2 linked regions of the Caenorhabditis elegans genome follow. The protein of the gene in region 1 purifies or fractionates together with the protein of each later gene. This does not show direct contact. Each region holds a gene or a part of one and is shown on either strand. Other genes may lie near its edges.

Region 1 (8,009 bases):
GGTTAAAAGTGGAAAAATGAGCCGAGAGATTCGGTCACTCGAATCCATCATCTCGGACGCTCGAGAAAACACACACGAAAAAATGCTCATCAGGTGTTACAAGTTCTTTGTGCAATCAGGCGTCTGTGTCCAATATTCTTAGAGGGGGTAAAAGTGTGTGTAAAGTAACGGGAGCAACAAAAAAAATCCATAAAATCAGGAGAAATTACAAGAAGAAATGCATGAATGTAGACCGGCGAGTGTGGAGAAAAATGAAAAACGAGGAGAAGTGGAGAGGGAGACATCTGGAAATTGCCGATTTTAATTGAAAATTCGGAGGAAAAATGAAAAAAGTTGAAAGAAAGTGCATTTTTTCATTCAAATTTTGACTTAAAATTGCGATCTTGGGTCTTGAAACGAAAGAAAGTTTTCCGTTACCGTAACCCGTTCTACTAAAGGGGCACGGGTCTCGCCGCGATGAAAAGTTATGGTAGCTTTTTTTCAGAATTTTTGGGATTCTCTTGATTTTAAATGATTTTTTAAAAGTTTTTTTCAATAGATATTTTCAAAAAACTACCAAAAACTACCAATACGTGAACACAAAATTCTGAGAATGCATCCTGCACAACATATTTGACGCGCAAAATATCAAAACTACAGTAATTCTTTAAATGACTACTGTAGTGCTTGTGTCGATTTACGCGAGCGATTTTTGAAATGAAACTTAATTTTAATACTCTATCGTTGAATAAAAAAATATTTTAATTCATTTCAAAAAATCGAGCCCTTAAATCGACCAACAGTAGTCATTTAAAAAGGATTACTGTAGTTTTCGCTACGAGATATTTTGCGCGTCAAATATGTTGTGCAATACGCATTCTCAGAATATTGTGCTACTGTAATATATTTGTGTTTCTTATTCAGAAAAAACCAATATTATTAAATTTTCGAATGCATTTTTTTAACTAAGAATTATTCAAAAAACATGCCTAAATTCTAAAAATAGAAAAAAATCCGCAGCAATGAAAGTTTGAAATTACAGTATTCTTTAAAGGCGCGCACCCGTTTGCATTTCACTAAAATTTGTCGCGTCGAGACCAGGTAGTGTGTTTTTTTGCGAAAAATCGCTAAATTGCCCGTAATAGTAGTAGTAATTCGATCGTACCAGGACCCCATTTTAACTTGAATTTACTCGAGAAAATAGGAGTCTAAGCCTGAAAAAAAAACAAATAAATACATTCAATATATATATACACAAAATCTTAGAAAGCTGTTCTTTCGAAAAGACGGCGCGGTTAATTGAGAGTTTCCGAATGCGTCCAGATGCAAAATAATTGGATGTTGGAGATTTATTGACTTCCTTTTTTGTTTTTTTATTCCCCATTTCGAGGGGGGAGAAGAAAGTCAATAAACTGCGTTTATAGAATTCTCGTTTTAATATTAAAATTTAATGTCGAAAATAATTAGATTTTTATTCCAAAATCGCCTTTAATTTAACGACAAATAAATATATTCCAGAATATCCTTTGGAATTTGAATTCCCTCGGTTTTTCGCAGAGAAGGATTATCAGTGGAGCGTGATTGCGGCAATTCCTAAAAACAATTTTTAATTTGGTTCGCAGAGGCGTTAAAACGTTTTTTTAGCGATTATTAAGCCTAGGAAAGTATATAATTTTAAGAATTTTAAGTTTTTCATCAAATAATTATTGAAATTTAATTTTTTTTTTCATATTTTTAAATGATCACTACGGGTTTCCCTGTTCAAAAGTGTTTTTTTTTAATTAAAAAAAATTGTTAAATGTATCGATTCTTGTGCAATTTTATTTAATACCGCGTCCTTTCCTTACCACATTACACCGGTCACCCCCCGTAGACCGTCTCATTTGCCCTTTTGTCTAACCTGCTGCGTCTCTTGTTCTTTTTCGTGTAGCGCGGGAAAACAGAATTCAAAACCCGTCATTCTTTGAGAAACTCTTTACCGTTAAATCCTTTTTGAAAATCTTAATTATCTTCCAGAAAACAACGGGATATGACAACCGATATCGCTCCAGGTAAGCTTTTTTCCGAGATTTTCATTTTTTCAATATTTAATAAAAAATAAATAATTAAAATAATTTCCCATTTCAGAAAGAGACCTGCAAGGTCGCTTTTGCTCACTCCGGCGAATCGGCGAAGGAACGTACGGAGTCGTGTTCAAGGCGATCCACGTGCGTGACAACGTGAAATGCGCTCTCAAAATGATTCGCACCGATCGCGACGAGGAAGGCATTCCGAGCACGTGCCTTCGTGAAATTTCGTGTATAAAAGACCTTCAGCACGATAATATTGTGACACTTTTCGATATTATCTACGCAAGTGAGGCTTTTTTTGCTGATTAATTTGAAATTTGAAGTTTCAAATTTTAAATTTTAAAAAATTCATGAGACTCATAATACTGGAAAATCGGTGTGAAAATTGCTAAAAATTGATAAAAAGATATAAAAATTTTGGTTCAATCTGTAAGTAATATTTTTTTTGCGGAAAAGTTCGAAAAATCCCCTTTTTTAAGGTATTTTTCTAGGATTTCTAAAAATAAATGTTATTTTCAGATTGAACGACCTTACATTTTATGTTATTTTTTGATTATTCAAGTGAAAAAAATCGAAAAATTGAGAAAAAAGTAGAAAATCCCCTAGATTTATGAAAAATATGTTGATTTTGATGAGAAAAAAAGAATTTGTGGCCAAAATATTAGAGAAATGGCTGAAAATGCGATTTTTTCCCACAAAAAATCGAAAAACTACTAAAATGTTAAAATTGGTGTAGTCGAATTTTTAAAATTGCTTTATTAGACTCAAAATTGTCTGAAAAACCGAATTTCATACTGCTTGAAAACTTCTCAAAAAAAATGTTATGACGGCTCAAAAAAATGGCCTAAAATTCGTTAAAATTTGAAATTTGACCGATTTGCCAAGCGGTTGGAAACTATTTTTTTTTTGAAATCACCGTCAAATTTTGAGCATACGATGTAATTATCTTGCATTTTCAACTCGATTTAGGTATTTTAAAGTCGATGGACTGCGAGATTTGATTTTAAAAATTAAAAAATCTTTTCTCACCGTCCATCGACTTTAAAATACCTAAATCGAGCTGAAAACGCAAGATAATTACATTGTATACTCAAAATTTGACGGTGATTTCAAAAAAGTTAGTTTCTAGCCGCTTGACAAGTCGGGCAAATTTCAAATTTTAACTAATTTCAGGCCATTTTTTGAACTATAATAACATTTTTTTTGAGAAGTTTTCAAGCAGTATGAAATTCAGTGTTTTTAGGCAATTTTGGGTCTAATAAAGCAATAAAAAATTCGACTACACCACCTTTAAGTTTTAAATTTAAAACAATTAATTAATCAATTTCCAGACAGCAAACTCTACATGGTATTCGAATTTATCGATCGAGATCTGAAGAATCTTCTGGAAATGCTTGAGCCAACGAATAGTGTGCTTCCGCCAAACTATGTGAAGTCATTCATGTGGCAACTTCTATCAGCTCTATCGTATTGTCATCTCCGACGGATTGTTCACCGTGATCTGAAGCCTCAGAATATTCTGGTTTCAGATTCTGGAGTCATCAAAATTGCGGATTTCGGATTGGCAAGGTCAAAAAATGTTCTATAGATGTTATTTATGCTGCTGATACCGAATATTTTGATTTGAAAAAAAATTTTTTTTTTAAATTTCCTTTTATTATTTTTCAGGGAGGGTAGAGTTTTTGGGTATTTTGCTTAAATAGACTAAAACCGGTCCAAAACCAAAATTTTTTTATGACCGGTCAAAATTTCGAAAAAAAGAGCCAAATTTTGCTAAAATCTGAAATTTCGCACACTTTTCTTTGTCACAGCCGCTGGATTTTAGTTTTTCTGAAATTATCACCCTTCAATCCTTATTTTGGTAGATTATCTCGCGGAAATTCGTTTATTGAAACACATTTTGAGTCGATAGGCATCCAATTTTGATCATTTTTGGATGCCTATAGGTCTAAAAATTGTCTCAATCAACCAATTTCCGCGAGATAATCTACCAAAATAAGGATTAAAGGATGATAATTTTAGAAAAACTAGAATCCAGCGGCTGTGACAAAGAAAAGTGTGCGAAATTTCAAATTTTCGATTTTAGCAAAATTTGCCTCCTTTTTTTTCGAAATTCTGACCCGCCATAAAAAATTTTTGGAATTTTTTTGTGAAGTCTCTTTATGAAATTCGGTGGTTTTGGACCAGTTTTAGTATATTTAAGCAAAATACACACAAACTCTACTCCCCATTTAATTTATTAAAATCCAAAAATTCACCTATACACGTGTATTCAGCTCGACCAACGCATCGAAAATTTTCGAAAAAGGCGTGAAAACATATTTGAATTCGCCAAGAGGAATTTCACCGCAGCGCATGCAAAAATGTCTGCATTTGCGCGAGACGGTGTTTGCACAAATTACACCGAATGGTCGAGCTGAAAACACGTGCTATAGTGTTAACTTCAAACGAAAATATTTGGAAGATAACCGTGCCGCAGGTGTGGATTTACGAGATTCATATTTTTCATCCATTTGTATCTGATTTTCACCGCGATTTTTCTGATTTTCCGATGTTTTACATTGAAATTCTGGTGATTTCCACTAATGTATGATTTTTTTATTAATTAAAACAACCAAAATTTTTACATTTTATTTCCTTTCATTAGTAAAAATTGAAAAATTAATGAAAATCACAAGATTTTCAATGTAAAACAACAAAAAAAAATGAAAATCGGGAAATTTGGTATGGACATTTTATAAAAATAGATGAAAAATATTAATCTCGTAAATCCACACGATTATCATGCAAAATGTGTCGTTTGAATCTAACACTAGGTGGATTTTCGGATTTTCAAAAATTAATATAAAATCAGGGATTTTTTTTTGAATTTTTCACATTTATATTCGGTATCAGGAAAATTTTAATAAGGGGTTTGAATTTCCTAATCAAATTTTTTGTTAATTCCAGAAATTTCTCGTTCCCCAGTCGAAACTATACTCACGAGGTGGTAACTCTTTGGTATCGTCCGCCAGAGGTATTTTCAACATTCTGAAATTATTTTATTCAATTATTTAATTTTATTTAAAATAATATTTCCAGATTCTGCTCGGCTCGCAACGTTATTCAACATCACTGGATATGTGGTCGCTGGGATGTATATTCTCCGAAATTGCATCGAATAAGCCTCTGTTTCCAGGCGAATGCGAGATTTCACAGCTATTCAAGATATTTGAAATTGTTGGAACACCAAATATTAAGGTTTATACCGATTTGGAGAGGAAAATTCGAATTTAGAGTCCCAGAAGTACACTGTGAATAATTTGTGTTTAGAAAAACTGAAAATCTCTGAAAATATTCGATTTATGAGATTTAATTTTGAAAATAATTCATCACATTTCAATATCACTCATATGCGATATTTTGGCGATTTTAAATACGGCACAGGGTCTCGAAACGAGTGGTTTTGTGAAATGTGAAAACGTGTGCGCCTTTGAGGAGTACTGTATTTCTCAACTCCTGGGTTTTGCAGAATTTTTAAATATGGGATTTCGAGAGAAGCGCGAGATGAACTTTAAAAATCTAAAAAAATTTTTTTTTTCAGAAATCTTTCGCCTCCCCGAAATTTAGTGAAAAACTGAATTAAACCATAGAATACGTTTTTTCCGATTTTCAACAAAAAAATCGAGTATTCGGAAACGAAAAATAGTTTAAAATTTTGGACTTTTTCTTCGTTTTAGAGGAAAATAATCGAAATTTAGGTTTTATATCTTCAAATTTCGCGATTTTTGTTCCACTGAAATAATGTTTTTTTTTAATAATAAAATACAAATATATTACGAGAACATAAAATTCTGAAAATGCGTATTTCGCAACCTATTTGACGCGCAAAATATCTCGTAGCGAAAACTATAGTAATTCTTTAAATGACTACTGTAGCGCTTGTGTCGATTTACGGGCTCGATTTTTAAAATGAATTAAAATAATTTATTAATTTAAATAACGATAGAATATTAAAATTAAGTTTCATTTCAAAAATCGAGTTCCCGTAAATCGACACAAGCCCTACAGTAGTGGTTTAAAGAGTTACTGTAGTTTTCGCTACGAGATATTTTGTCAAATATGTTGCTCAATGTACGCATTCTCAGAATTCTGTGTTACCGTAATATATTTGTGTTTTATTATTTCAAAAAAAAAAAACAAAAATGGCGAAGTGTGAAAATATTATTCGGAAAATTGAATTGTTTTTCTTCCAAAAAAAAACATAAATTTCGATTATTTTCCTTTAAAAAGAAGAAAAAGTCCAAAATTTTCAACTCTTTTTGAAAAGATTTTTTTGTTGAAAAATCGGGAAAAAAAGCGTTTTATTTGAAAAATTAAATTTTCTCGAATACACTCTACACGGATTTCTGGCTTTCCTCATAAATTGAAATGGAAGAGTTTGCCGAACTAGACCATTTTGGCTCGGCCATATCTCGGGTAGATTTACGGTGCGTTGCGTGTCGCGTCGCAGCTCGATTTTAGTTGTAAAACTAAATGTATTTGTCCGTGTGAAGTACACGACTTTCCCACGGTGATTGTCGATGGAGCGCGAAAAATTTAATGAGGAAGGCCAGAACCCCGTGACTTTAAATTATTCAAAAAACTTTTAAATTCGAATAATTTTTGCAGAGCTGGCCAGGCGTCGACTCGTTTCCCCACTACAAGGCAGTCTTTCCACAGTGGCCGGTGAATTTGAAGAAGCTCGAAGAAACATCATGCCTGACTGGAAATGGTCTTGACGTGCTTCGTGAGATACTTCGTTATCCACCGGAGCGACGTCTCACCGCGAAAGGTGCTCTCTCTCATCGCTACTTTCTACAGAACGGTTTCACCCAAAACCGGCCGAGTGTCACTGATTTGATGAAGGATATCCGAGCGCAGAACAGGGTAAAGTTACTGGAATATTTGGATATTTTTTTAATGAAAAAAAATTATTTCAGACGCCACCGCTGCTGAACAATCATCAGGAGAAGTCAATCTTCTAATATATCATGTCCTCCATAACCTAAACATCGTGTACTATGTCCTCTCTTTTTACCGAGTCTTTCCTCTTCAAGGGTGTCATCGAACGAAATTATCGATTTTTTTGGGTTTTTTCAGAGAAATTCAAAAAAATCGAAAAAAAAAGCGCAATTTTTTAAATCAAATTTTGTTCATGTTGATAAGAAAAACACATGAGAAAACATATATTGTTCTACTAAAAAAGAAAAAAATTGCAAAAAATTGAGCTATTTTTGAAAAATCGGAAAAAATTGTTTTATTCAAAAAATTCAATTTTTCTAGGTTTTTATCATTTTCGTGAGAAAAAAAACATATTTTTCTACTAAAAAAATTATTAATTTTTTTCGTTTATTTTAGTGAGAAAAAACGTAAGAAAACATAATTTTCTTCTGAAAAAAATTACAAAAATTGTAATATATTTTTCGACAAATCGGAAATTTTTTTTTCCAAAAATCAATTTTTTTCAAAAAATCGGGAAAAAAAGTTTTATCTAAAAAATTAAATTTTTTCCCAAATTTTGTTGAGAGAAAACAGATTTTTCAACTAAAAAATGGTCAAAATGTTCAGAATTAAAAAAAAAATTTTTTCAGAAATTTGATTATTTTAGGAAAAATTAAAGTTGAAAAAAATTATCAAATTTCGATTTTAGAGAAAATCGAGAATTTTCGCTTTTCTGATTTTTTTTTGAGAAAAATAGCTTCAAATTTTGGTAATTTTTTTCAATTTTTGAAAAAATTACATGTTTTCTTATGCTTTTTTCTGATCCAAAAACATTTTTTTTTCAATTTTTGAAATTTCTCTGAAAAACTCAAAAAAAATTCGATGTCTCCCTTGCTCTCCACCCACTCTTTCTGCTTCATCGTTCATTTTGTATCATAATTTTCCCACCTATTTTGCTCCAGACGTTTTATCGCATTATTATTTTTATTATTATTATTT
Region 2 (3,252 bases), on another chromosome or scaffold:
GAAGCCGCGCCACGTGGCACGCGAAATGTCCCCGCTTCGCCGCGTAGGTCAAATTGAGAAAATCGCGATTTCCGAGAGCTTTTGGCGGAATTTCAATGAAAATTTGTTGCCCTTTTTCAGTGATAACGATGCTTTTCGGCGGTGTCCACTGAAATTCCGGAATACTCGACGACGTGGCATCCACAGCCTTTTGAAGATGATGCAGAGGATGTTTAACGTCGAATTCTGTCCAGAAATCGAGATTTTTGTACTGAAAATTCAAATTTTGGCCTAAAATTTCACTAATTAAAGGGAAAACCTGAATTTTCGGGCCATTCTTCGAGGTTTCCAGCACATTTTTTATTTTTTGAGCGATTTGACGCTGCTTTTCGATGAGTTTTTTGTTGGATTTTGGAGCGGTGTCTTCGCACTGAAAAATATAACAATTTTTTTGCTTGAAAATCGATTTTTTTGGGATTTACCAATAATTTGAAGGCGTTCGACATTGGGAGCACATCTCCGTCTGTCTCCATCTCTGCAAATAGAATTTATTAGTATTTTGCTCCCAAAAATCAATTTTTCAAGCTAAAACCAATTTTGAAAACCAATTTATACACTAGAAATGACAAATATTCAGTTTTTCATTTAAATTTCACAAAATTACATTCAAAAACTAGAAAAAATCATTGAAAACTCGAGATTTAAGGCTAAAATCAACAAAAAATAAAATAGAGTGTCTCTGTCGATTTACGATAAACAACACGTTACTGCGGGATTTCGGAGTGTCGTTTGCCTGCTTTCGGCGGAGTTTCAAAAGCAGAAATTGAGTGGAAAACGGGGAAAACAAGGGAAATGACAGATTAGAACACAAAAAAAGGATTTAAAATGAAAAACTGCAGAGTTTTGGGACATTTTTCAGGGAAAAACACAGATTAAGACGTGTTTAACGTCTGTTTTCGAAATAAATTTTTGAAAATAAAGTCTAAAATGTTTTTTTAACTTTGAAACGATCATATTTCTAAATTTTTAGAGCTAAAAAACAATTTTTTATGAAAAAACATGTTAAAAATCAAATTTAAAAGTTCCTACAGTACCCCTTATTGCTCGTCAATTAAAAGGCCAAGTACGCAAAAGTACGCAACCTGCCTGCTGCCGCCAAACTTTGAATTTCAAATTATTTCCCTCCAAAAAATCAATTTTCCAGTTTTCTACGAATTTTCATCAAATATTCATGAAATTTCCAATGTTATTTTTTGTTTTCTTTTCATCACAAACTCTTTCGAATTCTCTGATGAATTTTAAATTCTGTAGTTTCTTCTTCTCTCCCTCTCGCCGATTCAGCTGGAATTTATTTCTAGAAAGAAAAGCGAAAAAAGATGCGAATTCACTGAATTTATAGGCTTGTTTTTGGACCGATACGCACACACACACACACAAAGCTATCCATCATTTTAATTAATTCTTTTCGTTTCGTTCTCCATTTTCTCTCAGTTTTCTCGTTTCCGTTCATTCAAATTTGTTTCAGCAAGCTCCCGCGACGCAAAAATGAAGTTCCTGACATCAATTCTCGGCTCTGAACGTGAGTTTTACCTTAAAAACCCCAAAAATCAGATTTTTCCATTTGGTCTGCTACACTACAAACTACAAGGTTCGATTTAGCAGACCAATAGGATTGTGAAGAGATTTGGTCTGCTAGACTACAAACTACACAATTCGATTTAGCAGACCATTATCGGGAAAATCCTATTAAAACATGCATTTTCGCAATTTTTATTTAATTTTTATACTTAATCTTAATTTTAAGTGCAAAATTGATAGTTTTAAATGATTTTTTCCATTTTTTTTTGCTAAAATTCGTATAAAAATCGGTCCTTTCTTTGAAATTTAGTCGATTTTCGCTCAAATTAAATGATTTTAGACTTTTAACTAAGTTAAAAACACCTTAAAATCACTAAAACTAACATTTTCCAAATAACCGGACTTTAATATCAATGAAAAACCGCCAGAAAACTCGAAATTCAGTGGGTCTGCCAGGCTACAAACTACAAAGAATATTTAGCAGACCAGAGCGTTTTTCATTGAAAAATAGGCAATTTTCGCTTAAAATAAAGCTTTTTTGACCTAAATTTCTTCAAAATTACCCTTTTTCAGGTGATCGTGCAGCCAAAAAGCGTCGAAGTCTCGAAGTGAACCTGCACCGCCTCGAAGAGAAGGCTTTCCTCTTGGAAATGGAGCTCGAAGAGACCAGAAGACAAAAAGTTGGCTATTTTCGAGCGTTTAAGCATGATTAATTCAATTTTTTCAGGAAAAAGTGATCAAAGAGCTCCGCAACGGGCTCCCAGTTCGCCACGTGTCAACAGTCAGCGTCTCGTCGACCGATATGTCCTTCAACACGGATTCCTCGAATGTATGCACCTTTTTAAATCGATTTTCGCATTAAAAACGTTATTTTTCAGGTCACCGATCATTATTGTGGACTTCCGATCGATTCGAGCACGCCGAAGGAGACCTCTAAGAGAGATTTTCAGCAAAAACACGAGCAATATGCCGAAGAAGAGGGGGAGCGTGCAAAATGGCAAAGCTCTGCGAAACTCGGCGAGAAATCGGAAAAATCAGAGAAATCTATCGAAAAGTACTAATTTGATCTACTAATTTTTATTCGCACTTTTAATTTTCTTGTCAAATTTGTGTAAAAAGCGATTTTCAGAGTAATGAAGGCTTACAGATGACTACAAACTACATTTTTCGTGGAGTTGCAATGCAGAAGATATGGGTCTGCTAGGCTACAAACTACAAAATGATGTTTAGCAGACCAATCCAATTTCTGATAAATTTTGGTCTGCTAGACTACAAACTACAAAAAAAACATTAGCAGACCAACGAATTTCTAAAAATTTGGGTCTGCTAGACTACAAACTACAAAAAATATTTAACAGTCCCAACCAGTTTCTAATAAAATTTGGTCTGCTAGACTACAAACTACAAAATGATATTTAGCAGACCACTGCTGCTTTTTTGGCATTTTTCCACATAAATTTGGCAAAATCATGATTTTTAATAGAAATAAAACATTGTGGGACTTTAAAAACGATTTTAATAAATTAAATAATATGATAATGCGCCTTTAAATACACTTTCCGCCGTCCTGGATCCACATTGAATAGGTGTCTCAAAAAGAAGACGCCTGAGCCGAACCAGTTCTCTTCCAGGGACCAATCCTGGCGAATTAGGGATTGAAAGCTTGTTTTGATGGTTTCTCTGAAAGTCGTAACT

The links. The genes of interacting proteins can lie anywhere in the genome.
Region 2: the proteins of cdk-2 (region 1) and Y51H7C.3 fractionate together in Caenorhabditis elegans (co-fractionation; one large-scale study listed by BioGRID). This does not show direct contact.

Annotation. Positions count from the first base shown.
Region 1 is NC_003279.8:3,408,017-3,416,025, forward strand, and holds the start of cdk-2 (Cyclin-dependent kinase 2), read left to right. Parts: upstream 1-1,996; 5' UTR 1,997-2,008; coding exon 2,009-2,030; intron 2,031-2,106; coding exon 2,107-2,334; exon of another isoform or gene 2,335-3,379; coding exon 3,380-3,617; intron 3,618-4,995; exon of another isoform or gene 4,996-4,997; coding exon 4,998-5,064; intron 5,065-5,129; coding exon 5,130-5,288; intron 5,289-6,698; coding exon 6,699-6,956; intron 6,957-7,009; coding exon 7,010-7,054; 3' UTR 7,055-8,009. UniProt on the Caenorhabditis elegans protein: Serine/threonine-protein kinase which, in association with cye-1, regulates proliferation, quiescent state and cell fate during the development of several cell lineages.
Region 2 is NC_003280.10:1,436,986-1,440,237, forward strand, and holds Y51H7C.3 (Lzipper-MIP1 domain-containing protein), read left to right. Parts: upstream 1-1,504; 5' UTR 1,505-1,524; coding exon 1,525-1,558; intron 1,559-2,130; coding exon 2,131-2,237; intron 2,238-2,284; coding exon 2,285-2,386; intron 2,387-2,435; coding exon 2,436-2,618; 3' UTR 2,619-2,712; downstream 2,713-3,252. Other genes in the region: nol-6 (Nucleolar protein 6), read right to left, coding at 1-250, 299-409, 462-512; Y51H7C.12 (Nucleotide-diphospho-sugar transferase domain-containing protein), read right to left, coding at 3,081-3,237.